Danio rerio: one gene and its partner. The protein of the gene in region 1 purifies or fractionates together with the protein of each later gene. This does not show direct contact. Links are inferred from orthologs where the notes say so. Each region holds a gene or a part of one and is shown on either strand. Other genes may lie near its edges. The genes, in order: ccnc and cdk19.

Evidence for each region.
Region 2: the proteins of ccnc (region 1) and cdk19 purify together in Homo sapiens (affinity purification with mass spectrometry; 8 studies listed by BioGRID and IntAct, counting the BioPlex papers as one, with this or other methods). This does not show direct contact. The link is inferred for Danio rerio from reciprocal best matches to the Homo sapiens genes CCNC and CDK19.

What each region holds. Positions count from the first base shown.
Region 1 is NC_133179.1:6,187,998-6,205,064, reverse strand, and holds the start of ccnc (cyclin-C), read left to right. Parts: upstream 1-6,454; 5' UTR 6,455-6,544; coding exon 6,545-6,576; intron 6,577-7,075; coding exon 7,076-7,182; intron 7,183-8,320; coding exon 8,321-8,405; intron 8,406-8,582; coding exon 8,583-8,652; intron 8,653-9,252; coding exon 9,253-9,304; intron 9,305-10,508; coding exon 10,509-10,564; intron 10,565-11,057; coding exon 11,058-11,093; intron 11,094-11,177; coding exon 11,178-11,269; intron 11,270-13,176; coding exon 13,177-13,244; intron 13,245-13,853; coding exon 13,854-13,933; intron 13,934-14,026; coding exon 14,027-14,145; intron 14,146-15,638; coding exon 15,639-15,693; 3' UTR 15,694-17,067. Other genes in the region: ngs (notochord granular surface), read right to left, coding at 924-1,048, 1,313-1,423, 1,497-1,607, 2,334-2,468, 3,203-3,298, 3,374-3,493, 3,847-3,996, 4,079-4,247 and 1 more. UniProt on the Homo sapiens protein: Component of the Mediator complex, a coactivator involved in regulated gene transcription of nearly all RNA polymerase II-dependent genes.
Region 2 is NC_133195.1:2,985,107-3,001,694, reverse strand, and holds part of cdk19 (cyclin-dependent kinase 19), read left to right. Parts: intron 1-6,635; coding exon 6,636-6,767; intron 6,768-7,294; coding exon 7,295-7,438; intron 7,439-8,545; coding exon 8,546-8,615; intron 8,616-11,042; coding exon 11,043-11,115; intron 11,116-15,620; coding exon 15,621-15,718; intron 15,719-16,588.

The DNA of each region.
Region 1 (17,067 bases):
GCAGCTATTGATGTGATTCAATTAGTAATTGAATTTGAGGCAACAATAACATTTGTTTACATTTGAAAACTAAATTAAATTACTGTATGGGTGAAAATATGGAAAATAAACATAATATGTAATATACGCTGCGGCCAGGATTCTGACCAGAAGCAGAAAATCAGAGCACATCACACCTGTCCTCAGGTCTCTACACTGGCTCCCAGTTACATTCAGAATAGATTTTAAAGTATTATTACTTGTCTATAAATCACTAAATGGCCTAGGACCTCAATACATTACAGATAAGCTCACTGAATACAAACCTAACAGATCACTCAGATCTTTAGGATCATATAAACTAGAAGTTCCAAGAGTTCAGTCTAAGCAGGGTGAATCCGCCTTCAGCCACTACGCCCCTCGCTGCTGGAATCAGCTTCCAGAAATGATCAGATGTGCTCCAACATTAGGCATATTCAAATCGAGACTGAAAACACATCTGTTTAGCTGTGCCTTTACTGTATGAGCACTGTGCTACATCCGACAGATTGCACTATTATGTTTTTCGTTTTCTTTTTCATTCTTTTATAACCTATTTTAACTCATTTTAATTTGTTTTCATCTGTTTTTAATAATTTTATTGTCTGCATTTTATGTTCCTAAACTTGTCTTTTTTTATTCCTGTTTATGTAAAGCACTTTGAATTGCCACTGTGTATGAAATGTGCTATATAAATCAACTTGCCTTGCCTTGCCAATGTATTATAAAATAATAATAAAATGTATAATATTTTGACTTTGCTTGCCTCAACCCATTTAAATTCTGCCTTTTAAGTAATTTCATTAAATGACCATTACACCCCTATTGATTCGGGATGTTTACAGTCTTGTCAATTAAACAAAAATGAATATCTTGCTCAAGATAATATGATACAATGGCAGTACCTGTATGTGGTGATTTCAATCTCCAGTGACATCTTAACATTGAGCAGATCCTGATATTCTCTCAGCAGCAGCGCGATCTTCCCCTTGATAGACCTCAGTTCCTCTTTAAGAGTCTCTATACGCGTCTACACATGATCAAAACAAACATGTTTTTAGTATGCTTGAATATAATCACTTTAACTGTTAAAAGCTATTGGTTACTTGTTAATTAGTTACGGTTATTAGGAACTAATAAAGTTATGGTAGCTAACAACCTCTGATTTGGATTGTAATGCAACAATGTACACCTTTATTAAAGCTGCTTTGACAATACTTATTATGAAAAGCGCTATACTAATAAACTTGAGTTGAATTTAATAATAGTATTTAGTATCGGGGCGTGTCCTTACATGTAGCTCCTCCTCCTCTTTCCTGTAATTCTCCTGCGCCTCCTTGATCATCAGCAGCAGTGCCTCATTCCTGTTTTTAAGGGCATCCAGTTCCCTCTGTTTGTTCTGTATCTGTAAACACGTGTGCAGAATGTTAATAATTCTGCATCATTTGGTGTTAATAGTGACCCACGCTTTCCCTCACCTCCTTCTTGTATCCCATGATTTCCTCTCTGGCGCTTCTCGCTGTTTCCATGTGCCGAGACGATACATTGTTTAGATCTTGAAACTTTCCTTTGTACCAGGCGTCCATATCCTAGACACACGCCAGCAAGGAAACACAAAAAGATCCAGGTTCAGTGCTATGAAAAGTGGCATTGTTTACATTTTATTTCCAAATGTATTATTATTAAGAGCATGAGCCCCTTCAGATGAATCATCTCATCATACACAAATGACAGATTGAGCATTTCATAGTACAGTTGAAGTCAGATTTATTAGCCCCCCTGAATTTTTAGACCGCTTGTTTATTTTTTTCTCCCAATTTCTGTTTAACGGAGAGCAAATTTTTCCAACACATTTCTAAACATAATAGTTTTAATAACTCATCTATAATAACTGATTTATTTTATCTTTGCCATGATGACTGTAAATAATATTTTAATAGATATTTTTCAAGACACTTCTACACAGCTTAAAGTGACATTTAAAGGCTTAACTGGGTTAATTAGGTTACTTTGGCAGGTTAGGGTAATTAGGCAAGTTATTGTATAACGATGGTTTGTTCTGTAGATTATCGAGAAAAAATATAGCTTAAAGGGGCTAAGAATTTTGTCCCCAAAGTTGTGCTTAAAAAATTAAAAACTGCTTTTATTCAAGCCGAAATAAAACAAATAAAACTTTCTCCAGAAGAAAAAAATATTATCAGACATACTGTGAAAATTTCCTTGCTCTGTTAAACATCATTTGGAAAATATTTAAAAATGAAGAAAAATATTTGAGGGGGGTTAATAATTCTGACTTCAACTGTATTTATTTTTACCTGGAGGTTTTGCGCAGCGATACTGTCATACTGAGCCTGGATCTGTTTGAGGGCAGACGCCAGATCGGGCAAAGAGAAGGCCACATCTACTTTAGCCACAGATCCATAAATTTGAGCCATCAACTCCTCGATTTCCTGACAGAAAAAAAAAAAAAAACAATAATAAAAATTCAAGCTGAGATTGTTTTCTGTTGTGGGAAAAACAGCTCCTCAAACAAAGGTTGAAAAAGGAGGGGCTTGATTTCGTCTATTGTGAATAAATCGTATGGTTGTTGTTTGCTATTGGTCGATTTTATTTGATTGTCAGATTGATCCCGCCCTCACACTAAACATGTAATCAGGGAAGATATATGACTGAAGAGGAACAGAAAGTTATTTTGATTATGAATAGGTGTACATATATCCTCCATCACCACAGTTAGACAGGTGCAGTTGGAGGATTTAGGAAGTTTAGCAAAATGCAGTTTAGAAAATGCGGCCAGCCATACACTGATGTGGATGCTGTTATATTTTGGTGTATTTAAACTGGTTCGGAGCAGTCTGGTGTGAAACAGAAACAAAATGGCTGAAAATGCTACAATGTATAATGTTTACCCTTGGTTTGAACCAAAGGTACTACAGGTGTGAAAGCACCCTCAGGGGAAGGGGAAGGGGTTTTGACTATAAAGTAGCACACATGCATACCATTTGAGGTTTAGACAGGTGATGCTGGAGGATGTGGAGGGCTTCAAATTGGCTTATTTTACAGTGAACACTGAGCCATAATGTTTAATTGTTAAACAAGCATTTTCATTGGTTGCAGAATCTGACCAATCAACTTGTGCTGAGTAGCAAACAGCGTGGCTGTGAGTAAATTGCGTGTTGTGCACCTTTTTGTGAATCCTCTGCAAGAACTCGAGCTCCACTTCCAGATTTTCCAGTCGTTTTTCCAAGGCAATTCGGGCAGAGGTGGCTGCATCCACATCCTAGTGGACAGAGGGAGTTTAGACACCATTGTTATGTAAAAACAGCTGTGTTTTTGTTATTACATTGGACTTTACCGGTCTGAAGGCTTCAATCTCGAGCTCTGCCTTCTTCCTGGCCTCCAACGCCTCCTCGTATTTCACCTTCAGCATTTCCAGCTGACCTGCCATGGCATCCTTTGCTGCTACTGCCAGGTCCTGTAATACATTATACATACATTAAATATGGCCACATTTAATAGGCCAATCAGTGTCGGTCAATTAGTGACTTTACCGGGGTTCTGCTTTTATTATTATTGCATTTCAGCCATTTGCCAAAACACAGTTATTTCATTTCAAAGTCAATATTTTTTGGATTTAATCATAATAAAATCATGAAAAATAAAGATTAAATAGACATTTAATTTAACATAATTACATTTAATTAGATGCACATAATTAGATGCACATAACTTTTGTGAAAATAAAATTATGGGGGAAAACTATGAGCGAGTAGGGCAAATTGGTGAATAGTGTGTGCATTAGTGGCTCTGTGGTTCATCATGTCTCACCCGTTGGATTTTCATCTGGTCTGCAATCTTCTTCATCTCCCTCAGTTGTTCCTCATAAAGCAGACGCAGGCCGGACGGCTTCACATGGTGGCCTTTAATGGCATTAATCTCAGTCTCCAGCAGCTTGTTACTCTGCTCCAGAGAACGTACCTGGACCAACAAAACACCGGTCTTCAAAATAGATACCACAAAGAGAGAGCCAAAACAGTGAAAGGCATGACGTTTTTTATACCTTCTCGATGTAAACAGCCAGCCGGTCATTGAGGGCTATCATCTCCTTCCTCTCGCTGGTGCGTGTGCTGAGGAAAGCCTGATTCTCAGCGGCCGCAGCGTCCAGATCCACTGCACCTCCAGCACCACCAAAACCCATCCCGAGACACAGCGTCCCCATACTCACGCTGCTGTGGAGCGAATCAGACATGCAAAGAGATGTTATTACAGTCAATTGTAATATTTAAAAAATATGTTTCACGAAACAATATGAAATACAGACTGTAGTTAAAGAAATTAGACTAGTAGTAAGAACGCAGTAATAACTGAGTAAACATTGCTATTGATAATAATGAAGTAATATTATATTATATTAAATAATGTTTCATTATTGTCTCATTATTAAATTATATTATTTTTCTCAAAAAATACAGTAAAAAATATTAGATTAGCCTACATAATAATTTTATTTAACCATAGTAATGATTGTCTAGTATGGTGGCCTATATTAGGTAGCATTATTCATTATTCTTTACATTAAAATAATAGCACAATTTTGTATGTTAAGAAAAAATATATAATAAAAAGAGGACAAATCAAGAGAAACCAAAACTATATAAAATGTGTTGAAAGGTTTGCAGTATTTAGCATGTCATGTAGCTGTATTATCTTTTAACTAAAATATTATTGTAGCTGTAGCCTGCTCAGTCATGTAATGTATATCTCATAAAGTGACATTATTTTTACATACAGTTTCTTCAAATTAGACTACTAAAATTATATTATTATCCTTATTTATTATAAATTATTCTTTACATTAAAGGTGTTAGGCTACTAATAACACAGTAATAATATATTATTTTCCTTATTTATTCTGCATTATTCTTTACATTAAAGGTGTCAGGCTGCTAATAAAAGTATAGCCTATTATTTCCTAAAAATATATAGCCTACAGTTAAAATATTTAATTATTGATTTACATATTTTTAACTTAAATCTGTTATAGGCTACTGATTATAACACAGTAAAATTATAATATTTTTCTTAAAAACACAGTAAAATATTTAATTATATTTTAGGCTACATCATTATTTGATTGTCCGGTATGAGCACTTACAGTACAGAACATTAATTTTACATTACATTTGTTAGGCTACAAATAACACAGTGAAATACTATGGTAAAGTTTTTTCCTAAAATTAAAACTTAGTCAAATTTTTTATTATTTATTTAGGCTACATACGTATTTGATTGTTGAGTATGAGCACGTTTATTAGAGAACATTAAATATATTACATTAGATGTCTCTTTACCTGGTCATGCGTGATTTGCGTGTCCCGGACAGCGCTCTGCGGCCGGTGCTGCGGGAATAGCTGGCGGACCGGTGTCTAGTCGCCCCGCGAGTTGGAGAAGGGCTGGAGACCCGGACCTGGAGGGTGGACGAGGCGGCCAGGCCTCCCTCAAAGTGCCTGCGGTAAGAAGACATCCTCTCCGGGCTGTAGCTCATGTTGAAACCGGTGGTCCTGAAACAGAAGCGTGTGATTGTATCCTCACACTCATTCATGCGGTAGTTTTATACCTGCTGTCCCGCAGAGGAATCTCGAACCTCGGGCTGACTTGAACTTAACCCGCTGCTGAACAATCTGACGGGTCACCGCGAAGAGTTTTACCGCAGTAAAAATAGAGGAGCGAGTTTTCCTGATGCCTGAGATCTTTATTAATCACATTCTCTGCACTAAAAGTGTCGAAAACTTTTTGGAGATTGACAGTAGCCTGGTGTTGACTTCATCGAGGAGGTGCATGCTAATTATTAATCATAAATTAACGGTTTATGGTCACTGTAGCCTTGTATATTGGGTAAAAACAAATGATAATGTAATAAAAAAATGACAATGTAAAGTTTGTTTATGGCTGTCAAAGACAAAAAACATGAGAATCTATATTAATACAAAACAATATCATTATATTATAATATATTGCATTATATTATATTATATTATATTATATTATAATTAAATAATAATATTGTATATTATATTTAATTATATTATATTGTATTATATTATACTATATTTTATTATATTATATTATATTATATTATATTATATTATATTATATTATATTTAATTATAATTAAATTATAATATTGTATATTATATTTAATTATAATTATATTATATTATATTATATTGTATTATATTATACTATATTTAATTATATTATATTATATTATATTATAATATATTATATTATATCATATTATATTAAAATAATTTCGATTAGATAAATATAAAGTTGATGCCAGTAAAGTCCGCAAAAACTCTTCCGGAACTGATGCGTTTGTTTGTTTCCTCCCGGACCGTTTTAATCTTCACATTGAAGTTCCACGGAGTGTTTTTTCTGTCGCGCTCCTCATCTGATCTGAACGGAGCATCGATTATTTTAAACACAATTTAACAGCACATTAAGGTTTATTTTCTACCTCAAGATGGCAGGGAACTTCTGGCAGAGTTCACATTAGTAAGTATTTTCGTATTTACTACCTAAATCACGCACAATAAAGGATTTTTGGGGGTTTTGCTGCGGTTACGGGACCATAAGAGATATAAAAAAACATTTCAATTGTCATATTTGAATTATTAATGCGAACAAAGTACCACATTTTGGTCATAACCAAGACTCAAATACGGAGGTTAGATTATTTGACTTTTATAAATCTAATAGTTTAAATCGTTGACTTATTAGCTTTAGCTGTCTGGCTAGTGAAGAAACCACAGAGAAATTAATTTGTGAATCATTTGCATAAATATCGGTTATTTACTACGTGAATTCATTTTCACACATTAAATTTACATTTATAAACTCAATTAAAGTAATGTTTTAATGCTAATATCCAGATATGAAGTGACTGATACATTTGTTGTTTGACTTGTAGAGTGTATTTATTACACGTAAATATTAATATATGTGTGTTACACTTTAATGATTTGTGAATTGAAAGTGTCTTTGTTCTTTTCAGTCTGCAGTGGGTTCTGGACAAGCAGGATCTGATGAAGGAGAGACAGAAAGATCTCAAGTTCCTCACAGAAGAGGAGTACTGGAAACTGCAGATATTTTTTGCCAATGGTTTGATGAGAAATTGCTTATTTAGTTGTTTTGTTTTCTCTTTTCTGAATCTGAAACTGTATTTCTAGACTAAGTGCAAAGCAAGACCAAAATATTCAACAATATAGTATTTACTCATGTTATATGACAATGGCAGTTCATTTATATAGCATAATTAAAAGCAACCCATGTTGACGGATGTGCTTAACATTAACTAAAATCCACAAACAGCAAGAATAAGTCAAAAACAAGTAAATAAAAAGGCTAATTAAAAGCTTTTACGTGGTTAAACGCCAGTAAAATATGAACTAAATCTTATTCATGTGTTCAGTGCTTTGTCAAACAAGATAGTTTTTATACTTGGATTAAAAACGAAACAGATTTGCAGCTAATCTAATGGAAGACGGGGAAATCATTCCAAAGTGTAGCAGCAGCTGCAGAGATTTCAATCTAAATTTAGGAATCAATAAAAGTCTCTCATCTGATGAGCGATCAATTAATGATAGATGGGTTTAAGAGACAATGTGCAACAACTTTTATTAACATGAGTTTTTATTATGCATAGTAAGCATATTAACTATGAGTAAAGTGTCTACTTTCATGCTTTAAATAGCTTTTGTGAAAATATTGTTTCCTCATACTTTGGTGTAATAGATAAATATATATTTTTCATGTTTGCAAAGGTATTTATATCATTTAAATGTAGTAATAATTTAAAAATATGCAAACAATAGGTGATCTTGTTCAATTTTGTTGTATTTTAAATAAGTTTTGTTGACAATTGGTAAATCTTTTTTGTCATTTTAACATATTTAAATAACAATACTTTTGGGCTACACTGTTATCTGTTAATATATCATCAGATGATTGATCTTTCAAGATTTATTTGATGTTAGACATTTTAGGGGGAGTTATCTGTAAATGTATGAAAAATAATGGCACTTTATGTTTTGATGCTTAGAGCCTTAATTTTTTGACCATATGACCAAGTGTTAGGTTACCACATATACTGTGGAGCGTTAATTGAAATGTATATATTTTTTTCTGTTTTGTATTCATTTGTATTTGGTTTTGGGATTTAAATGCAAAGCTAACTTAAAGCCTAAAAGTTTAAACAGCTTAAACACTTTAAAATGTTTAATTCGTCCTCTTGTGACAGTGATTCAAGCCTTGGGCGAACACTTGAAACTCAGACAGCAGGTCATCGCCACGGCAACTGTCTACTTTAAGCGTTTCTATGCCAGGTGAGCAGTGCAGTGCCATCATTAAAAGCTTGTTTTCTTCTAAAGATTCCTCTTCTAGATTCATCTAGGCTCTTGTGTTTTTCATGTAATGTGGTGCTCTATTTTTGTTCTGTGGCTTTCATTTAAGTACTCTTTAGTTCATGAAATAAAAGGAAAAACTCTTGGCTGTTTTTTCAGGTACTCTCTGAAGAGCATTGACCCTGTGTTAATGGCCCCAACATGTGTGTTTCTGGCCTCTAAAGTAGAGGTAAATACTCTGTCTGTATATAATATAAAGTGCTTGGCATAAATGAGTAAAACATTTTTTGAAAATAAATATTTTTTTACCATGTCTCAGTCATCATAGGTAATAGATTTTGGCATATTTGAACAAAACAGATTTATTAAACTGATATATTTATTAAAATATTTTTTTTGTCACCAATCATCTTTAGAAATAGAAAGATAATGCATGTACAGTCATGCAAAACATTGCAAAAAAATGACAAACTGAAATTTCAACTATATGTTACATTTTTTTTGTTTTTCTTGATTTTTATTCTATTTTTTACAATTTTATTTAATATTTGTCTTATTATATACATTTGACCTAATTTTTAGACCGTCATCATACTTTTTTTTTAACTTTTTATTTTTTTATATTTTTAGCTCCAGAATTTGACTTCAGTACTGACTAAACTAATGTATATGCACAAATATAATATTGTAAATCATCCTATAGAAAATATTAACTTAAAAGAGAGATTTGTGAGGGGTGTACTGAGCACTGTAAACACAATATTTATTCAGATTTCTGCTGAAAGATGTTTGAAACTGCATTTTAACACTAAAATTCTGCTGTCAACAGGAATTTGGTGTCGTTTCAAACACTCGGCTTATTTCAGCAGCAACGTCTGTGTGTAAGTGGGTTATATTTTACAATCATAATTTTTTTTTATGTTAATAAAATATATGTATTTTATATTATATTATATGTTATATGTTATTATTATGTTATTATATGTTATATTATATGTATTATATTATATGTATATATATAGTTTAAATTGTACTTGTATATTTTATAATAAGTTATTTTTTTGTATATAAAGAGAGAAAAGTCCCATCTGAGATTTTCATCTAAAATTAGCATTTTTCCTCAGGCTTTTGTGTGTCACTTCAGTAATTTTACTCTTATGGCAAATAATAGGTTATTTGCATTGCCTTTAAAGTGGAGTAACTGATCATAAATATTGGAGGCTGAGAAAAACACAACTTTTAGAGGAAAATTTCAGACGTCACTGAAGTTTTTTCATCTGAACTCTTTATACAGTTGAAGTCAGAATTATTAGCCCCCCCCCCCCCCCCCCCCCCTGTTTAGTTTTTCCCCCATTTTCTGATTAACAATTTTTTTCAACACGTTTCTAATCATAAAAGTTTTAATAACTAATTTCTAAGACACTTCTGTACAGCTTTAAGTGACATTTAAAGGCTTAACTAGGTTTACTAGGCAGGTTAGAGTAATTAGGCAAGTTATTGTATGACGATGGTTTGTTCTGTTGACAATCGAAAAAATATAGCTTAAAGGGGCTAATAATTTAGTCCTTAAAATGGTGTTTAAAAAAATCAAAAACTGCTTTTATTCTCCCCAAAATAAAACAAATAAGACTTTCTCCAGAAGAGAAAATATTATCAAACATGCTGTAAAAATTTTCTTGCTCTGTTAAACATCGTTTGGGACATATTTAAAAAAATAATAATAATCAAAGGAGGGCTAATAATTCAGACTTCAACTGTATATACATATACAAACACTTTTTATATATACATTATATGAAGTTGCACAATATATTCAAATAAGAAAATCTATATTATATTGTAATTTATTTGATCTAATAGCCAAGGAATTGTTGCTATTACTAAATTTAATTTAGTTTAATTTGATATATAAAAACAACTAACAAAACACTATATAGACGTGTTTAAAAATGTAATCATGAAAAAACTAAAATGAAAACAAAATATAAGCATATCCCGATTATACTAAAAAAACAGTTTAATGTCTTCCTCAATAGTCACTTTTGTAATATATATGTATTTCTCAGACTTTTCTTTTTTTAATAGTGAAAACAAGGTTCTCTTATGCCTTCCCAAAGGAGTTTCCCTTCAGAATGAACCACGTGAGTCAAACGTCTTTGTTTCACTACATCAGAAAACATGATGAGACCGTCATGTGAGAGTCTTTCCCGAGAGCATGACTTCACTAGGAGATTTTGGAAATCTGACAGCATCACTATACATCCAGATAATAATTTCTTGTAACTTGTCTGATTCATATGATGGAAACACTAGTCGAGAGTTTGAGTGTGTGTGTGCTGATGATGCAGTGTTTCTGACACCCGTTCAGGAGTGAAATTCCTCACACTCGCAACACCTTCGTAGGAAAGTCTCATTATCCTGATAGATGACTTCTGGTTTTGGCCGTTCATGTCTCGGGCTGGTGATAAGTGCCATATGATTACTAGCAGTGTTGTTTATTCAGCACAGCACTAGTCAGGTGGTGTAAAGGAAACATTGCGGTCTCCATTTAGTAAAGGGGGGAAAATGCCAATTAGTGCGCATAACATGCTAACGCCATGATTTCACAGTGAACTTATGCCTTTATCTCGCTAGATCCTGGAGTGTGAATTCTACTTGCTGGAGCTCATGGTTGGTATTGATGGATTCTTGAGGTTGTCTTGAAGTTGTGTTTTCAGCGTTTGTTGATGGATGTTTGGTTTGGTTTTGTTTCAGGACTGCTGTCTGATCGTGTATCATCCGTACAGGCCGCTATTGCAGTATGTGCAGGACATGGGGCAGGAGGACATGCTGCTGCCGCTGGCTTGGTGAGGAGTGTGTGTGGATTCAGTAGAAACCTCTACTTCTTTTATATGCTGGTTAAAGGGATTGTTCGCCCAATCGTCTATCTCTTTGTTGTTTTTTTAATGCCCTATACTGTTCATTCCTTTTTGCATGAGAACTTCTTGATGCTCATGCATGCCTGTGTAATGGTAGTTAAATCACAATCACACTTAAGGAGGTAGTTCACCCAAAACAGAACATTCTGCCAATCTTCACTCGTTGCAAACCTGTTTGAATTTCTTTTTTTCCTTTGAACACAAAAGAAGATGTTTTGAAAAATGTTGGAATGTGGTAACCATTGACTTTTTTCCTACTATGGAAGTCAGTGGTCAACTGTTTCAAACATTCAAAAAGTATGTTGTTTTGTGTTCAGCAGCCTTTATAAACACAAAGGTTTATAAAGGTTTGAGGGTGTGTAAATATAAGAATAATGTTAATATATGAATAAAAATGCAAACATATCAAAGAATAATTCCATGTAACAAATGCCATGTATTGCAATTATTCTGTAGACATATGATAAGGTTTGGTGAAAAACAAACCGAAATTATTGTTAGACAAATTTTCTGATGTTGAACATTTTTTTGAAGCTCTTATTATTGAGGCGTTTCAGTCTGACTATACCTTTTTATCAACATCTACATTTTAAATAAGTGGCAAGAGGAGTGGAATGCATTGGAAATTAATAAATTACATGAAATACAACCTGAAATGTCAAACAGAATTTTAAGACTATTTGATCGAGTGATTTTTACTAGATGTTGTGTTGGACATACAAGATTAACTCACGCCTTTTCACTTAAAGATGAAGACCCCACTCAATGTTTGTTCTGCACAACTCCCCACACATTTCACTGGACTGTCCTGCTTTTAATAATTCCAGAAGACTTTTTTAATGAAATGAACTCTCTTAAGGACATTTTTAGCAAAGTGAAACCAGAATTCTTATCATGTATTATTAACACAAAAATATCTTACTTAACTTGTGTTTTTATTTGTTTGTTGTTTTAAATTGTTTATTTATTATTGAAATGTTCTTGCCATGAAAATAGCCTTGGTTGCTGTTGCTATGGTTTATTTCCGTAAATAAAAAATACATCACATTACATTACAGTCTGACTATATACTGCATATAGAATATGTATATCTGACTATATATAGAATGATTATTCAGCACACTGCAAAAATATGCTTTTTTATTTAGTTTTTTGTGTTGTTTTTAGTCAAAATATCTTAATATTCTTATATCAAGACATTAGACAAGTAAAAATATTGTTTTGTTTTCAGAAAAAAGTTGTCAAAATTAAGTGAGTTTTTTCTTAAAACAAGCAAAATAATCTGCCAATGGGGTACATAAAACAATCTTATTGCAAACCAAAAAAAATTTTTTTTACTCACCCCTGATTATTAGGCAGATTATTTTGCTAGCATTAAGGAAAAACTCACTCAATTTTGACTTTTTTCTGACAACATTTTAAACGCCTAGAACAGGGGTTTCCAAAGTTGGACCTGGAGGGCTGGTGTCCTGCTGACTTAAGCTCCAACTTGCTTCAACATTCTTGCCTGGAAGTTTCTAGTATACCTAGTAAGAGCTTGATTAGCTTGTTCAGGTGTGTTTGATTAGGGTTGGAGCTAAACTCTCCAGGACACCGGCCCTCCAGGGCAGTGTGGACACTCCTGGTCTTGAAGATGTTTCTTGATTTAAGAAGTTTTAGATATTTGGACTAGAAACAAGACAAACTCATTGCATTGCACACATTTTTTGCCATTTAGATCCACATTTTACTGCACTGTTGTTGATCACTGTTTTTTACAAGTCTCACATGTTAAAAAGCAAGATGGATAAATGTATACAGATGTCTGATTTGAATGGTTTTTCATGTGTTTATAGGAGAATAGTGAACGACACCTACAGAACAGACCTGTGTCTGCTTTACCCTCCATTTATGATTGCACTGGGTAAGAACAACATTTCTTAGCTCAGTTTGATGTAAGAGCTGATTAAAAATTAGCCAACGTCCCACAAAGTTTTATTTTAACTAATCTTCTGAAACTTTCATAGGCTAGTCAGGTAAATAATTCTCGTGAATTCTATTGCATTGAATAATTCTTCTGAATTCTATTGCATTGCTGTGGCGATATCACAAGCTAAGGCTCTTTAGTTTTGCTTTCTTACAGTCAGTATTCAGTAAATGTACTGTGAGTTAAAATGTCGCCAATGTTATCGGTTGAAACCTGAAGTTGCAATAACATCTTAAAATTTATAGAAAGGGTCTTAAAAATGTCTAAAGAGTTATTAAATTTAACTCTGATTCTTCTATCTACCCTGTATTATTATTATTATTATTATTATTATCATTAGTAGTAGTAGTAGTAGTATTAATGGTAGTATTGTTACTAATATTAGTTGTAATATTAGTATTATTATTAGTACTACTACTATTACTATTATTATTATTATTATTAATATTAATAGTAGTATTAGTAGTCTTAGTAGTAGTAGTTATCATTTAGCCTATAGTTTTATATCTGAATAACTGCATAACAATTGTTTTCTTCCTCCTCCAGCTTGCCTGCATGTGGCGTGTGTGGTTCAGCAGAAAGATGCCAGACAGTGGTTTGCTGAGCTCTCTGTGGACATGGAGAAGGTAAGACTCTTTAAGGTGTAAAAGAAGTGAATGTTTTTTTTTTTCTGGATGTTGGTCTCCTGTAAGTGTGTGTGAATGTCTGGTATGGAGCAGATCCTGGAGATCATCAGGGTGATCCTGAAGCTCTATGACCAGTGGAAGAACTTCGACGATAGGAAGGAAATCGCCGCTGTGCTTAACAAGGTGCCCAAACCCAAACCTCCTCCTAACAGGTAAGATGGATTGCAGTGCTTTACCTCTCAGTTATTCATGTTACACTACAGTATTTTTTTGTGTGTGTGTAACCCTGTTGCAAAGAGTAACAATAGGAAAAGTACAATTGTGTTACACTTCATTTTAACACGCTCATTCATTCAATGATGTTTTGCAGCTATTTCAAAATTTGGTGAATCCTTGCAAAGTTTAATATTTTCTTTTATTTCATACATTTGAATTTTACTTGTATGAAAGGTTTATATGCAAAATTCTAAAAGTTAAAGGTATTAAAGTATTTATTAAGATTTTAATAACTTCCATTTGTTTTATATAATATTTTATCAAGCAGAAACTTACTGTAAGTACCAGGCATGTGCCAATATAAGATTCTGACGGTATGATAACCTTGGATAAAAATATCACGGTATTGTGATTACTGCTCTAAAATTTATTCCTTTCAAATGTCTGAGTAAAAACAAAAACAAAAATTTCCTTTTAAACTCAACATATTTTATTTTGAGAAACATTTAAAATATTTTGGAAAAGTAAACCAACGAATTTTTGGCTTCTGCTGTCTTTATTTATCTAAAAAACAGATTTTTTTTTACAATTTCAAACAGCATTTTAGGATATTTTTTTCTGCTGAAAATACTGTTGTCCTAAAAAACAAAAAAAAAAGTAAATAAAAATGTGTACTCATACTTTTGGAATGGTATTGCAGACAAATTTTAAAAGCTTGACTTTTCCAAACCGCCGTATACCTTAAAAACAGTTATCGTCTCATAGCTTGTGAGAACATGACATGCAAACTGCACAGTATAATCTGCTGGTTTTCAACATACAGAGTAATAATGAAACATGCTTTATTATGCATTTATTATGCTTTATGCATTTATTAAAGTTATTAATTTACTTATTAAAGTTACAGTTATTAAAATCTTAATAAACACTTCAGTAACTTTAATTTTAATAAGGTAAAGATATTAAAGTATTTGTTCATATTCTTGTATTACTGTTATTTTTAGAAAAGTGGAAAATAATATTATAATAATATTGATTTAGCCCATGGTTTTGAAAGATGTTATGTAAATACTTTCATAAATACTTAAAAAAAAAAAAAAAATTTATTTCATAATTTTGCAATATCTTCTGTTCATTAAGCTTTACTTCGTTTACTGAAAACTTTTTTTTGAATTTTAGTTTTTTGAGAAGCACAAAAGCTCCTTGTCATAGCATTTTGTTTATTTATTTAAAAAAATGCATTTATTGTTTCACCTTCGGTAATTCTACTGCTTTACCTTATCTTTAACTTATTTTATTTCAGTTAGTTGCCAAGGGATTGTGTAATTTTCATGTGTTTTTGGGTTAACAAGTTGCTGGTATATTACATTTTTATTTTCAGCTTTATTTCAGTTGCCAAAATGAATCTTAGTCCAAGTATAAAGAATAAAGTTCAAAAGTAATAACATCTGATATTTGTGCCTGCACCTTCTTGCTCTTCTGACTTCAGCGAGACTGACCAGAGCTCAAACGGCAGTCAAAACAGCTCGTACAGTCAGTCCTAGAGCGCCATCTGCAGGTGGACATGAGGCAGAGCGATCCAGAGAGGCAAAAACGGCACATCCTGGCACATTTGAATGCTGATTTTCACAAGCACATTGTTTTCTGATCGTGAGGAAACTGATTCCTGGCACACACACACACGCACAGATTTTCTCTTTCCTCTCCTCTGGAATCTTCCAACCAATCAAAGCAGACTCCACCTCCTTTTGTCCTTCCACGAATCAGAGCAGTCAAAATGATGCCACTTGTTTCCACCAATCAGAGCAGACAAAAAGACTCTACCTCCGTCCTTCCACCAATCAGAGCAGGAGGGGAGCGAACTGCTCACCAATAGGAAATCTGCTTTGATATAGAGTTTGTTGTCTAGCTTAAGGCTGTAGTGCTGAATGTTTTGGACACACACACACACACACACACATAAGCATAAAAGTATGTGTTTAATGGTCCTGACTTTCTTGAAAGGTTGATTTGAAGATTCTTTTGGGAACAAAAAATACATTTTTCCTCTGTGTCTGAGAGTGAAGAGTAGAAAGTGTGTGTGTGTTGTTGAATTATTGTATGCGTGCCTCTCGTCGACCATATCACAGTTTTGTATTCCTCAGGGAAACGGATCAGTCCTCTCTACAAAGTGGCTGGTTGTAAACTGATTGGCCACAGGGCTATGTGACGTGATCTATTTCGAACCCTCGTACTGTGTAAATCGATTCCTGATTGGATACTTAAACGTTTTTTCCGTTGACGTGTGTGGATGTGAGTTCGCCACTGTGAGATTTAGTGATATGGATAGTTTGATTTGATCACAAAAATGCTCCCAAAATGCATTGTAAATATGCGTTCATCCTATAGGCCTTTTTATTCTATAATTATGCTGTGTGTTTTGTTTTGCTTTCATTTTGTTATTTGACGTATTTGCAGCGCACAAAGTGATCGTTCACCAAAAAATGAACATTTGCTCATCCTTTACTCAACTTCAGGTGTTTGAGCTTTTTTTCTGTTTTCAAAAATTGCTGTTTGTTCAAACTATTTATTTAAAATGAGCTGAGACGACACAATTATTGTGTTTTATTTCTGGACAACTTATTTTTTTTATGTTCAATTTACTTGAATTTGTAACAACTAGTAAGTTAAATCAAGAAGTGTGTTGTTTAAGCTCAATTTAAATAAGCAGTTTGAACAAACAGCAAATGTCAGTCACTTTTGAGTCTGTTAAACTTAAATATTTCTATTTATGGATATTTTGAATCGTTTTGAAAACCATTGACTGCAATATAGATGAAAAAATCACCATGGGAGTCAATGGCTGCTTGTTTCTTTAAACATTCTTCAAAATATCTTCTTTTGTGTTTGATAGAATAAGAAATTCATGAAGGTTTGGG
Region 2 (16,588 bases), on another chromosome or scaffold:
CAGAGGAGTGTGCAAACTTTGGGACTAACTACTTTCTAATTGCTTGGTTACATCCCCTGTAAATCATCTCGACACATCATCCACATTTCTGTCATATTTAATTACCTCCCTTATAGGAGATATGGACAAATGACCATGTTTGTAAACATTCAGGATGCGCGGGGTTGCAGAAAAAAACAGGAGCGCTAGCATTTACTGTACAGCGAGGGAATGACATCCGATGCGGTACAGAGTTTGTTGTTGTCTTAGAGATAAGTTATATTGATTACATATTATATATATATTATTTACATAGTGCTTTCAGTGTATTAGAACAGCTCGCCACCCAGTGATAAGCACAGTGATTTGGCAAAATTAACAGAGTGAGCGGCGTTCATCTGACAGGTCTATTTGCGATAGCATTCTCCCAATGGATACTGGATAGGACAAAATTGTCACGGTATGGGGGTGGTGAAGAGGAGGCGAGGACCCAAATGCAGGGAATGAAGAATTTAATGAAAAAATAAAACAAAAACAAAACTCAAATCTCCCCATGTGGGGAAAAACACAACATTATATTACACACTCAACAAGACAAGATCTGGAACTTTTCAAGACAATACTTTAAACCGCTGTTGTAGAATGGAAATCAGCAACAGGGAAGGGAACAATCAATAACGGACCAGCACAGAACAGAGCACACTAGGAGAATAAATAGGAAAGACAAACCAATAAACAGACAGGCGGACAGGTGAAAATAATAATTACAAACAAGGTAACAAGGTGGGTGGGACAAGACAATAGACGGGAGAGCGCATGACACAGAGAGACAATACAAGCCATGCGCTCACATAACACAACACTGAAGCACACGACAAAAGCACGTGACCACAATGTAAACACCGAGCCACGTGCTTTGACAAAAGACGCAAGACACGAGCACACGATGAATGAAAACACTCACCGTGCGGTCACACATGCAGCATGCATGCTTCATCCCAGCGCCGACCAAAACCGAAACCAACAAGACAATAAAACACCATGCTGCTGACAGACGAAAACACAAACACGAGTACAAGAGCGCACGCGTCTGAGGGACGCAGAGCGCGCGCGCGGCCGCGTCAAGCAGGAGCGCGCCCACTCTGCGTACACCCACGACGGCGCGCGCGCACACAGAGACAGAAACAGGACCAGACACGAGTAGTGTCCGAGATCTGCCACCAAAACAAGAATATACAAGATCAGAGTGGCAGAACCCTGACAAAAATAGCCAAGCATCCAGCCCCAAATATACAATCTCATTGAAACTCCAGGTGTTTTAACAAGAGAGAAGTTAAAGCCCTACAAGTCTTTGGATGCCAACAGTGTTCTGTGTGGTCATGTGCAAGAAATAATGCTCCATGATTGGCAGATTCAAAACTATGTAGTGCTAAAAACCGAGGTTCTGTCTAGCCAAAGACAAGGAAAGACGGAGCTGTACAAGGCCTGGGTAATCATCAACAAGCAAACTGCATTCTGACAGCGAACTGCAACTGTACGGCAGGATATGTGAACCTACACATAGAGGAAAAGTTGGTTTTATATTCGCAAATTCAGACTTTCTCCTTAATAATATATTGTCATAAAAGTATTATTTGCAAACTCTAACTAGAGAAATCATATTAGCAGCCAATGACTATCAAAGTACAACATTGTTCACAGTCAAATAACTACTACTTACATTTATATAGCACTTATCTGGGCACTCAATGCACTTTACACATAGGGGGGAATCTTCTTATCCACCACCAGTGTGCAGCATCCACCTGGATGACGCAACGGCAGCCATTTTGCGTCAGATCGCACACCACACACCAGCTGATTGGTGGAGACAGAGTGATGAAGCCAACAATGATATGGGGAGGGTTAGCGGGCTATGATGGACTGAGGCCAGTGGGCAAATTTGGGCAGGATGCCGGAGTTAAACCCGTACTCTTATTTCGAAGGACATCCTGGGATTTTTAACGACCACAGAGAGTCAGGACCTCGGTTTAATGTCTCATGCGAAAGACGGCGCTCACTGAGCAGTATAGAGTCCCCGTCACTATACTGGGGCGTTAGGACCCACATAGACCGCAGGTTGGGCGCCCCCTGCTGGCCTCACTAACACCACTTCCAGCAGCAACCCAGCTTTCCCATGTGGTTTCCCATCCAGGTACTGACCGGGCACAGCCCTGCCTTGCTTCAATGGGCAACCATGTGAGAGTTGCAAAGAACTAGCTGCCGGCTTATAAACAATGTTAATAATAAACAAAATATCCAGTGTTAATGATGTTAATGAAGTCACACTTGCTGGTTATTTCAGACCAAATATTCAAAGTGCCGTGGTAAACAATATAGGGAGTGTGTCACAAGTTGTCACTGAATGAATGTGTGTATATAAAACCAAGTTTACCTTCATAACTTACACTTTCACGTTTCATTCTTAGCTTTCAGTGTCCGCAGTTTAATTCACCATATGTGACTGTTTTTGCTGAAATTATTGCTGAATGAGTAAAATGAGTAATGAGTATGATTCAGCATAGCGTGAACTTACCTGATATGACATGAAAACTGCAGAGTCCAGCATTTTTAAATAGGTCGTCACTTCATTCAGCTCCCTTTTAGCCAAAGACGTGTGCAGTTTGCATTAAAGCAGTGTGGTGTACAGTAAAAGTTAGGTTTTCTATTTGTGGACTTTTCAAATTTGTCATCTGTAGGAAAAAAGGAATTTATTTTTATTACTTTTGTGTCTTTATTTTTTATTAGAAATATGTTTAGGCTAACAACAGATTAATCAATCTTTTCTATTGTATTATAACACATCTTGACCAGACACACTTCGTCTTTTTTACTGTGCTGCATACTTTTTAGAAGAACTGCTGACTAGTGGAAAAAGCAGAATAAGAATAAATTTAGGTTTGGTCCAGACTGCTGTCTGGACAAGTCACAAGGAGCATGATCTTTGTAGAAGTTGTGAAATATATTAAAGATGCATGTAATTGTTCAGTTCTGGTATGCAAAGAAGGGTTGCAAAAAGAGGAAGTATGTCTAGGGGTTACAAAGAGCCAAGGGACTGCAGAATGACTGATCAGTGACGTTAAACCAACACTCCACCTGTTAATATCAGTTGTGTATATATGCTGGAGTCAGGAAAAGTAAGTTAGTTGTGAACCTTTTGAATGTAATTCTTGTATTGCATGGGGGTACCATAACCCAGAGCTCTGTCATTGAATTATTCATCTGTATCTAATAAATTACTAATATTTTTGGCATTGAAGAAAACACTCTCCAGACCTTTTCTTATTGAACACACATAGAATTGCCTAGATATTCCAACACATCCTACAGCACAACACGACATGTTTGCTATTGCAACCGGTCTCTTTTTGACTCCGGGAACCTGTGTGACGTCATGTGTGACGTAGATTGGTCATTCGTCTTTTCAGATCTGTGTTAATCTGCCATTTGTGATTCTTTCATGCAGAGAGATCTTTGCAGGTGTTTGTGTAATGCATTCAGAAGTCCAAACACGTCTTTATAAAACTTCATATTATTGCTGCAGATGGTTTATAACTCAGGAAATGTGATTTAAATATCTTCCAGTTGTCTAGATATTAAGTAATAGTCATTCGAACATCTTCTCTCTACTTGACGGTTGGTCTTGCATGTCCACCATGTTTGTAGTTTGTTTACACTTTTCCCCCAAGTTTGTTGTTCTAATTGAATTCACTTCCAAAGCACAATGTATTGTGGGCGATATTGGCGAACGGTTCTACACTTTTCTGCATGCTACCGGTTGGAACAAACTAATTCTATTTTCAAATCCTATTTAGGATGGGGGACTCACGGTTGCGCAGTGGGTAGCACGATCGCCTCACGGCAAGAAGGTTTTCTGTGTGGAGTTTGCATGTTCTCCCCGTGTTCACATGGGTTACCTCCTGGTGCTCTGGTTTACCTCACAGTCCAAAGACATGCGCTATAGTGAATTGGGTAGGCTAAATTGTCCATAGTGTATGAGTGTGAATTAGGGTGTATGGATGATCACCAGTGATGGAAGGGCATCCGCTGTGTAAAACATATGCTGGATAAGTTGGCGGTTCATTCCACTGTGGCGACCCCAGATTAATAAAGGGACTAAGCCGAAAAGAAAATGAAGAATTAAGGATGGATAGCATGCGAATTGGGATGCAGCAATGTAGTGTGAACTAGGCTTTAGAGTGCTTAGGCGGCGGTCATCAGGGTCAGACTGGGTAAATGTGAAGCCATTGTTTTACATAAGACTCTATTCTGGGCGATGAGTGTTCAGGGCACTATTTTTACCACCATGTGGAATGTGTTATTGTGTTTGGTTACTGTGTGTCTTTCAGCGTTAGTTTGACTCAACGTGACCACTGCTGTTTCATCACTTAAGCAGCGAAACTAATCTTTTAATCCAGGGCTCAAGATTGGGTATAAACGTTTTCTTGCTAGTGCAACTTAAAAGGACTGGTTCATCCCAAAAAAGCGAAAGTTTCTGCCATCATTTTCTCACGCCTTGACTTGATCCAAACCATTTTGGGCTGTTTTGTTCTGTTGAACACATTCATCCATTCATTTTCTTTTCGGCTTAGTCCCTTGATTAATCTGGGGTCACCACAGCAGGATGAACCGCCAACTTTTCCAGCATATGTTTTACACAGCCCTTCCAGTTGCAACCCATCCCTGGGAAATGCCAATACACACTCATTCACTACGGACAATTTAGCTTACCCAATTCAAGTCTTTGGACTTGTGGTGGAAACTGGAGCACCCAGAGGAAACCCACGCCAACACGAGGAGAGCATGCAAACTCCACACAAACTCCATGCAGACTCCACACAGAAACGCCAACTAACCCAGCCGAGGCTTGAACCAGTGACCTTCTTGCTGTGAGGCGACAGTGCTGTGCCACCGTGCCGCCCATGTTGAACACAGAAAAAGGTGAAACCAGTAACCACTGACTTCCATAGTAGGAAAGAAACATAGTTTTGGAAGCAATTGAGGGAAAGTAAGTAAGCAAATGTTTATTTTAGGGTGAACTAGCCCTTTAAGCTCAACATACTGCTACATTCAACTCAAGATGTGCATTTCTTAGTGAGAAAGCATGAATTATTAATCGTACATGCTGCCTCGAGCACTGCTGGCCTGAAGTGGTCTTCTTGAGTCCTGTAGTCTCTGCCTGGTTATAGGACGAAACACGGCCCACGATTTTACCTTATATGAAGCTTTAAAAAATAATGTTTCACTTTGACTTTTCACTATTAATTGTGTCTGGAGTGTTTGTAACAAAATGTGCTGCTTTAGCTCATTTCTGTCACAGTGATTACTAGGGATGTAACGGTATTAGAATTTAATGGTACGATAATACCTCGGTATGAATGGCACGGTACGGTATTTATTGAAAAATTTACAGTAAAAACAAACTAATAAAAAGACTCGAAAAAAGTGCTAAAAGGGTTTATTTACCTTAGCACTGAACATATCAATGACATACAAATTAACCATCTATCTGAAAGTTTCGAAACAGGAACTTCAATTTTTCAATTTTAATAACAAAAAACTATAAAACCATATAAAAAAAATAGTTTCAATGTAGTATTGTTGAAAACTCATCACATTCAACATTTAATCACTCACTCACTTAGATAGAGATGGGTTTTTTAAGGAAAATTATCATATAACTATAATCTGGTAAAAGCTGGGATCTCTGGGCATTTACAATGTCCCCTGCAATAGAAAAAACCCTCTCATTTGGGACTGAGGTTTCTGGGACAGAGAGATATGATTTAGCCAAGGTTGACAGCAGTGGGTAACGTTGTGCATTGTCTTTCCACCACTTGAGAGGACAAACCATGAGTGAGATAGAGGTCTCTTTGCTGTACAAGTCAATGGTTGCTTCAATCTAACAAGTGTGCTGTGATGATGGCCACGCCTGGGCTGATGGGAATTGTAGTTCCCGCTACCTCCCGTTCGCTTCATTCGCCTGAGCAAACTTTTCTCAGAAATATAGTTTTATTGAGTCATGCGCCTACGGTAATATTGAAAAAAATTACTATTGCGGTATGACGGTATTTACAATATTGTTACATCCCTAGTGATTACACTTCATTTTCACTACTCTTTTAAAACAGTTATATTATACCCCAACATATAACCCAACGTTCCCAACATAGCTGGTTTTGGCTGGGCTCCCAGCCTGGCTAGGCTGGTCAAGCTGGTTTTAGCTGGTCATCTCCCATCCTGCCAAGCTAAGACCAGGCTGGAAATGGCTGGAAACCAGCCTGGAAATGGCCAAAACCCCTCTAAAACCAGGCTGGTCAACCAGCTAAAACCAGCCAACCAGCCTAGGCTGGTTTAAGCTGGATTTTTTAGCAGGGATAAAAAAGTGACACACTCACTTTCCTGACTTTTTTCAAACTAGAGGTGTGAAAACACCCTGCTGAAACAGGGGTGTTTACTGGCCCTTTAAGAGATATCTGATCTAGACATCTACATGAGAAAAGTCTTCTTTGCAGTGTAGAGTAAAAGAGCACAGCTCAGCTGAGGCTGGAGTGATCTGCAGACTGAATGGTTTATTATATGGTTTATTCACGTGTGTCTGTGCTTGTGTGTCGTAGCTGATATGGGTTTTGCTCGACTCTTCAACTCTCCGCTGAAGCCTCTGGCTGATCTGGACCCAGTGGTCGTCACCTTCTGGTACCGGGCGCCTGAACTGCTCCTCGGGGCGAGACACTACACCAAAGCAATCGGTGAGCTGTGCGTCGACTTTACTCATGGCTAGGCCCACACGGAATCTGCTTGCGTAGAATTCCGCAGATTTTCCGCAGATTTTTAGCCCATCATTAATTCTGTTTATTTACTTGAGTAAATGTGTGTAAATCTAAATTTATTCAGTTTTTAAATTAATTTCAGTAACATTATTGACTAATATGAAAATGTTAGGGTTAGGGCATCTGATTTATGCACAATGCAGTAAGTATTATTTCCGGCTTTTAGAAGAGATATTATTTAAGAGACTTGCTTTATTTACCAAAAAAGCTAAATCTAATTTGCATTTTGAACATTAAATAAAAGTTAAAAAGGTATAATTTTTTTTATTTCATATATTAAGGTTTTAGTTATGATACTCCCAAAATAATTCAGCAGAAATCCACAAATTTTTACCAAATTTCTCTGCAGAAATAGCAAAAACACATCCGCAGATTCCGTCTGGCCCTGCTCATGGCCAATCTACCCTTTGTTATCTGCACTTAACATTGTTTGACTGTGTTTGTAGATATTTGGGCAATAGGCTGTATCTTTGCGGAGCTGCTGACGTCAGAGCCAATCTTCCATTGTCGACAAGAGGACATAAAGACCAGCAATCCTTTCCATCACGACCAGTTAGATCGCATATTCAGCGTCATGGGCTTCCCAGCAGGTACACTGCAAAATATAATTCTTACTTAAAGTTTATGTCTTGTTTCTAGTCTAAATATCTCAAAATTCTTAAAGCAAGAAGCTTTTTCTAGACAAGTACAAAATAATGTCTTGTTTTAAGGAATAATATGTCAAAATTATCAACCAATGACTTTCAAAGCGAAACCAACATTATTTTGTTTACCCTTTTGGCAGATTATATAAAATAATAGTTTATTTGTAGCCATTATAATAGCAAAATTACAAGAAAATGATAATAATAGAGTGACTTTCAAACCCTGCAATGACCACCCTACTGAAAAATCCAGCTTAAACCAGCCTAGGATGGTTGGCTGGTTTTAGCTGGTCGACCAGCCTGGTTTTAGAGGGGTTTTGGCCATTTCCAGGCTGGTTTCCAGCCATTTCCACACTGAAAAAAATTATTCGAAGATGATTCCTTGGATTTACTCAATTTCTTTACATTAAGAGGTTGTAAACAATTTATTTGGGCTGAATTTAAACAAACAAATTAAGTTGAACATTAAGTTGTACTAAACTTAATTTGTTTGTTTAAATTCAACACAAACAAATTGTTTGCAACAGTTCTGCATGCAACACTTTTTTCATTGCAGCCTGGTCTTAGCTGGACAGGCTGGGGGATGACCAGCTAAAACCAGCTTGACCAGCCTAGCCAGGCTGGGAGCCCAGCCAAAACCAGCTATATCTAGCGTAAACCAGGCTGGTCAAGCTGGCTTTAGCTGGTCATTTTCCAGCCTGACCAGCTAAGACCAGGCTGGAAATAGTTGGAAAGCAGCCTGGAAATGGCCAAAACCCCTCTAAAACCAGGCTGGTCAACCAGCTAAAACCAGCCAACCAGCCTAGGCTGGTTTAAGCTGGATTTTTCAGCAGGGCAGGCAAACAAACCTTTCTCGAACTGATATATACACTTTATTAGGTGCACCTGTCCAACTGCTCGTTAACGCAAATTTCTAATCAGCCAATCACATGGCAGCAACTCAATGCATTTAAACATGTTGGCATGGGCAAGACGATCTGCTGCAGTTCAAACCGAGCATCAGAACGTCATCACTGTGCACTGTTATGTAAAGTTGATTCCTTTTTCCTATAGATAAAGACTGGGAAGATATCAGAAAAATGCCAGAGTATCCTACCTTACAGAAAGATTTCAGAAGAACCACGTAAGTGCAGTGTTTTCTTCCATACTAACACCGTTTCTTTCATCAGCCAAAACTTTATTAAGTTTATGTATTTCCAAGTCTAATCACATTTGTTGAAGTAAATCAGTCTTATTGAATATACAGCAAAGCGGCGTTGTGATTCTGTGCTGAATGAAAACAGCTGACTTCTTTTTTATAATTCACTCACCGTGCAATGTTCAGTCTCCACTGCGTTAACCGCGTCAGCTAAACTCTCCCACTCTATTTTTTTCTTTTGTTATTAATTCCGGAGGACAAACTTGCAAATAACACTGCTTTTCTGTGATCTACCTCCGATAAAAGCACCTCCAATTCACATTCTGTGAAGTTTCTCTTCTTGCTGGCTTTTCCCTACTGAAAAAAAACAGCTTAAACCAGTCTACGCTGGTTGGCTGGTTTTAGCTGGTCGACCAGCCTGGTTTTAGAGGGGTTTTGGCCATTTCCAGGCTGGTTTCCAGCCATTTCCAGTCTGGTCTTAGCTGGTCAGGCTGGAAGATGACCAGCTAAAACCAGCTTGACCAACCTAGCCAGGCTGGAAGCCAGTCAAAACCAGCTATATCCAGCTTAAACCAGACTGCTCAAGCTGGTTTTAGCTGGATTTAGCTGGTCATTTTCCAGCCAGCTAAGACCAGGCTGGAAATGGCTGGAAACCAGCCTGGAAGTGGCCAAAACCTCTCTAAAACCAGCCTGGTCGACCAGCTAAATCCAGCCAACCAGCCTAGGCTGGTTTAAGCTGTTTTTTTCAGCAGGGTTGTCATTGCTTTTTCGTTTGGTTTTGCCAAAGTGGAGTCATTACCATATTTATATAGGGTTGGAGGCCGGGAGGGTTTTGCGCTCGTGCACGTGCGCTCAGTTTAACGTTAATTGTACAAAAATGTACAAAGAGAATATGTGTGGGATTCGGCGTACGCAGTGTTTCATACATCTGAATTTTTTACTGTGTACGCACGTTTACAGCTTTGTCCGTATGCGATGTTTAGTATTATTTCAACGCAAGTCTTTGTACATGAGGCTTCTGGTTTCTCGCACGCACACTTGGTGCTTCTTTAAAGTGGTTGGTTGGCATCCACCAATCACACAATGAGTTCCTGTAAACAGGAAGATTGCATGTCAGCTAGACTGCAGCCAAAATTAATTAACCTACCCAGTAACGGACAAAAGCATTATATTGTAAGGATAACAGAGTTAATATATTTAAAAAGTAATGCGTTGTATTAGTTACTGTCAAAAGTAATGCGTAACCGTAATGCATTATAGTAGCGCATTACTAGTAACGTGTTATTGCCCAACACTGCTAAAAATGTATTCAAGGGTAAGTAAAAGTACACTACTTAGTGAATTACAATTCCTGAGAAAAACTACTCAACTACAGGAGTCTGAGTTTTTGTAGGTTGTAACTTTACATCACAGGTTTAAGGCGACACTCATAGGCTGTGTCCGAAACAGCCTACTACTCAGTAGGTACAGGGCCGGCGCGTCCATAGAGGCGACCTAGGCGGCTGCCTAGGGTGGCAGAATAGAGAGGGCGGCGTCCCTGACACTACCCTCACCTCTCGCGCCCTTAGTTATATCTGCGTCTGGGACGGCAGAATAGTGAGCGCGTCTAGGACGGCAGAATAGAGAGGGCGATGTCCGCGTCACTACCCTCACCACCCGCGCCCTCAGTTATATCCGCGTCTAGGACGGCAGAATAGTGAGCGCGTCTAGGACGGCAGAATAGAGAGGGCGATGTCCGCGTCACTACCCTCACCACCCGCGCCCTCAGTTATATCCGCGTCTAGAAAGGCAGAATAGTGAGCGCGTCTAGGACGACAGAATAGAGAGGGCGATGTCCGCGACACTACCCTCACCACCCGCGCCCTCAGTTATATCCGCGTCTAGGGTGGCAGAATAGAGAGGGCGACTTTCACTTTAGGGTTGAGGGCAGCGTGACCGTCCTTTGCCTGGAGCAGCAGTTCAGCTTGCTCCGGCCCTGAGTATGTACTCCATTTGAATTTAATCGTACTACTCGGCCGTTAGAAAAATACGTTCTATACAGTATCATTTTTGTAAAAAAGTATGAATGGATTTCGGACTTACTACATCCGCCATTTTGACATAGTCACGTGACATACCTGCGTAATTTGCGTCGCTTTACTCCCATTCATGAATTCGCTCGCGGGGCATCATGGGATAGCGCAGCATGCATGGGATGCGCACTCCAGAATCTCGCCGGAAGTAGTAAGTCATTCGGGTACTTTTCGCATACTGTTTTTCGAATTCTATGAATTCGGACGTACTACTCGGCTCGCATACTGATTTTAGCGTACTATATAGTACGCAAGTATGCGGTTTCAGATGCAGCCATAGTTTTGATGACCGAGCGTGCAGAAACGTATCATATAGTGACGTTTCTGTTGTGTTTTTCAGATATGCCAACAGCAGTCTCATCAAATACATGGAGAAGCATAAGGTCAAACCAGACAGCAAAGTGTTTCTACTGGTGAGTCTTTTCATGCTTTCACTGTATCTGATTGTTTGTTGAAAGGTCAACTTTGCCCTAATAAATAAGATATTGAAGTGAGCAAACCATCTTAGGCCAGGATTATTTATCCATTTTCTTTTCAGCTTAGTCCCTTTATTAATCCAGGGTCGCCACAGCGGAATGAACCACCAACTTATTTAACATGTTTTACGCAGCGGAGACCCTTCCAGCTGCAACCCATCACTCGGAAACATCCATACACACTCATTCCCACACACACACTACTGACAATTTAGCCTACCCAATTCACCTATACAGCATGTCTTGTTGGGGAAACAGAAGCACCTGGAGGAAACCGACGCAAATACAGAGAGAACATGCAAACGTGTTTGTTTGTTGTAAAAATTCGTAATTGGCGAGGCAGTGGCGCAGTAGGTAGTGCTGTCGCCTCACAGCAAGAAGGTCGCTGGGTTGCTGGTTCGATCCTCGGCTCAGTTGGCCATTCTGTGTGGAGTTTGCATGTTCTCCCTGCATTCGCGTGGGTTTCTTACGAGTGCTCCGGTTTCCACCACAAACCAAAGACATGCAGTACAGGTGAATTGGGTAGGCTAAATTGTCCGTAGTGTATGAGTGTGTGTGGATGTTTCCCAGAGATGGGTTGTAGCTGGAAGGGCATCCGCTGTGTAAAAATGAGCTGGATAGGTTGGTGGTTCATTCCGCTGTGGCGATTCCAGATTAATAAAGGGACTAAGCCGACAAGAAAATGAATGAATGAATAAATAATTCGTAATAATGACAAAAAAATACTAATTTGTTGATCTTCTTACTTCCGGGTGGAGCTATCCTGCCGTTGTGGCTGGTGTATTCTGGGAAATTTTCTTACCTCTTGTTTTTGAGTGTGGTCCTAAAAAATCTCCATTCGAAGGGCTATTCACCCCTTCCCCTTAGCCCTACACTTTCAAATTAACTATAATTGGGACAGCCCTACCCCTTCACGAGAACACACAAAAGGGAAGGGAAGGGATAAGGGGTAGAATTGAGATTGGGCCTAAGTTACAGCTACTACGAAATATTTTTTGGTGCACCACTGAACTTGGTTTAGTCATATCTCTGAGTTCCAGAAACATATTTACAGCAGCCTCCCCACCCATGACAAACAGTAGAAAGAGGCGACAGCAGATTAGTCTACATTGAGGAGCTCCGGGTTGATACTGAGGAAGCACATGTTCTCATCTGTCATCTCCCTCTGCTCAGTGTTTTGATTTGATTTAGTTTTTGATGTCCTGCCAAATCTCACCTTCATTCATTCTGGTTTGTGACAGACAAGGTTCGTTTTAAGGAGTGTTCTGTTTTGTTTTGTATCGCTCAATTGAAGTGAGAATTCCTTCATGTCTGAATTGTTCTTCCTGTTTATTTGCCTGTTCATCTGCGGGCTACTATTAACATGAGATCAAGTTTATTCATTCATTCATTTTCTTTTTGGCTTAGTCCCCTCATTAATCCAGGGTCGCCACGGTGGAATGAACCACCAATTTTTCCAGCACGTTTTTACGCAGCAGATACCCTTTCAGGGCGAGGCAGTGGCGCAGTAGGTAGTGCTGTCGCCTCACAGCAAGAAGGTTGCTGGTTTGAACCTCGGCTCAGTTGGCGTTTCTGTGTGGAGTTTGCATGTTCTCCCTGCCTTCGTGTGGGTTTCCTCCGGGTGCTCTGGTTTCCCCCACAGTCCAAAGACATGTGGTACAGGTGAATTAGGTAGGCTAAATTGTTCGTAGTGTATGAGTGTGTGTGTGAATATGTGTGTGGATGTTTCCCAGAGATGGGTTGTAGCTGGAAGGGCATCCGCTGCGTAAAAACTTGCTGGATAGGTCATTCCGCTGTGGCGACCCCGGATTAATAAAGGGACTAAGCCGACAAGAAAATGAATGAATGATGCCCTTTCAGCCGCAACCCATCTCTGGGAAACATCCACACACACACTCATTCACTACGGACAATTTAGCCTACCCAATTCACCTGTACCGCATGTCTTTGGACCGGAGAAACTGGAGCAGGAAACCCACGCGAATGCAGGGAGAACATGCAAACTCCACACAGAAACGCCAACTGACCCAGCCGAGGCTCGAACTAGCGACCTTCTTGCAGTGACGCGACAGCACTACCAGTGCCGATTTCAAGTTTAGTGTTATGATTTGGATAACTTCACATTAATTTCACGCATATTTCAGGCTACTTTTCCCTTTAACAATTTGAAGGATTCTGATTGGTTATGTCATTCAATGCAACTACGCATTACCTTATACCAGCGGTTCTGGATTCTGGTCCTCAGATGCTCATCCCTGCACATTCTGCACGTCTCTCTTACTTGACACACAAGAATCAGTTCATGGATCTCTCAGTTCACATGCTGATGATCTGAATCAAGTGTGTTAAATAAGGAAGACACACAAAATGTGCAGGGCAGGGGTGGCCCAGGGACTGGAATTGAGAACCACCGCCTTATACAGAGCTTACAGCCTGCTTTCAGGCTTATAGAGATTATAGTTCAGCTAAAAATGAAACTTCACTCGCTGTCTACTTACCATTGACTTGCATAGAAGGAGACAAAAACACTATGGAGGTCTATGGTTGCCGGTTTCCAACATTTTTCAAACGGACTTATTTTGCAATCAACAGATAAAATGGCTTGAGTTTTGAACTGAAGGTTGAGTAAATGATGATTTTCGGTGAACTGACCCTTTAAGAACATGTAGTGCAACCGAAGTACAATATTAGTTACAAATCATAGCTATATACAGTAGATGTCGCCTGCTCTGTTGTTGTCTATTGGAAGGAATGTGTCAATAGAGCCGCCATTTTAGTACAGAGTAGCGCTCCTTTGAAATGAATGCGGGACCAAGCTGCAGTGGAGGATTGTGGCCATCTAAAGCCAGATTATTTATTTATATATATATATATATATATATATATATATATATATATATATATATATATATATATATATATATATATATATATATATATGCATATATCTATGATTTCCCGGAGGTCAGTATGCAAATTTTTTTTTTAATCACGAAAATTAGAATTTTACATCACTTTTCTACATTGATGGATCAGTGATCGCACGGTCATTCCTGACAAAAAGCTTGTGTTTGTGTGTATAGAAATGTACTATTCACCTCCCTGTTGAATTTGATCTAATACGTGTCTTAAAACACACCTCCTCTCCTGCTTTCACTTCTCATAGTGACGGAGGGAGCGATTTGTTTGTGAATGTATCCCTGTTATAAACGACTACACTTAGCCGACAATAATACAAGTTTCTGGCAGCGCAGCATCTCGTTGTCATATTTCTTTTGCATTGTTTGCTGATTTTATTCAACAAAACTAGCATAAGCCGAGTGTTTAGTGCGAGTTGGTGCTCCTTCGCCTTATGGTAAATGCAGTATTATTATCATTACTTCTCTTACTTCTCTCTAATAAACGTTACTAGTTTAGCACAAAAGTTCATAACATACAAAAATGTAAAAAACTAAATCTTCCCTATGAAATGTTCTGCCTTTGTTTTCTTTGTTAGTGCTTAGACAGCACTAAAGTACCGCATCTTCCTGTAGTAATACTGTCTTGACTAGTGAGGTTGAATGACACTTGTCCTGGGAGCCCTGTACAAATATGGCGGCGCTATTGACGCATGCTCAGGGTCCCTATGCGACATCTAGTGCATGTATCTATGGTTACAAACTAGCTAGTAATTACTAAGCCTCTAGTGTGGACTTTATGTCCTCTTTAGGGCGTACTCACACTATGTACAGTTGCCTTGAACCAGGCTGAAGCACGCTTGTCCCCCCTCCCGTCTCCCCCGACGGCCCGCACTCACATTACATTCGGCCCTGGGCCCGCTTACGTCATCATTGATGTGCTGTTCAGTAAGCGCTCTCGCTCAGAACAGTGGACATTTCTTTATATCATTTAGGTCGTTTGGGATGCAGTGACACGCAGTCAAACATTTCGCCGTACAGATCAGCCACTTTTGACGCTCATAAACAATAATAAAGCCCTCGTGCTGCAGGAATTAGGAGGTTTGCTGAAGGTGCAGCTGTGGTGCAGTGAGGGGTTTGCGTCTTTTAATAATCTATGACAGTTTGCTTTCATTAAAAAGAATGATTAATAAATCCATATCAAACAGCCACCTAAAAGTCACATCTCCTCTTGAGTTTCTGGCTCAGGCGTGTTTTGCACTCACACACTGAGCGCCCAAGTGAACCGCGCTCTGACACACCTCTTCCAACAGGGCCAGGGCTGGCCAAGTGAACAGTGCCTGAGCCCGATTCAGAGCACTCACACTTCTCAAACGATCCGGGAAACAGACCTGCGCACGGTTCGGATAGCATAGTGTGAGTACGCCCTTATATTCCAGTTTAAGCAGGATCTTATGAACAGCTGGAACACCCTACTATGGACACCAACAAGTTGACCAATCACCATTCAGAGTAATCAGTGTGATGTGTGTTCATCTCATCCAGCTGCAGAAGTTGCTGACTATGGACCCCACCAAAAGAATCACGTCTGAACAGGCACTGCAGGACCCCTATTTCCTGGAGGACCCCTTACCTACATCTGAGTAAGTCTTGACACACTTGTTTTTATATCCTAATGGGGACTCTCATCGACGTAATGATGTTTCTGCTGTACAAACCGGATATTCTCTTCCCCTGAAATCCACCCTCACAGGAAATAATCTGCATTTGTATACTTAAATACTTCATTCTGTGTGATTTATAAGTATGCTAAGGACCAATCTTAATTTTGATCCCCGCAATGACTTAAGTCTCCATGAGTCTGTGTGCATTCAGGTTTAAGTCCCCTCTTGGATAGAAGTACACACACACACTTATACAGGGTTGCACAATACATAATTTCAGCATCTACATATGTGTATCTGCCATATTTACATTGCAGGATAGTCAATTTTGAGTCAGGATTATAATTGACCAGTAATTATAATCCTTTATATAGACCTTTTTCTTGGAACGCAAAATTACCCATTATGCTTTGCGTGTATGCGCAAGGAGAATGCGAAGAACTTCCGGTCGGCAGCTGATGCGTGTAAACAGTCACATTTGGACAGCTCTGAAATGATAGTTTTAATCTATTTTACCGGCTTTTATCCTCTTTGAACTAATACTGTTGTCCGTCAGCACCATCTCCTGGACTGATCATTTACAGAAATGCGATCTAATAGGATGGAAAACAGCTGCTGTGAGGCGTTTTCCCCTCGGTGTCAGACGGCATCTTCTGCAGTTTAAATGAAGCCTCGTCATCGCTAAAGTCAACATTTTCTCTTTATTTCAAATACATAACCAGCCCAAACAAATGTAATTCACCAAAATGTTTGACACACACACGTACCCTGTACTGTGCCACTGACACACTGATTTAATAACTGTGACAAAGTGAAAATATAGGCTAGTGTCATTTCCAAATGACAGAA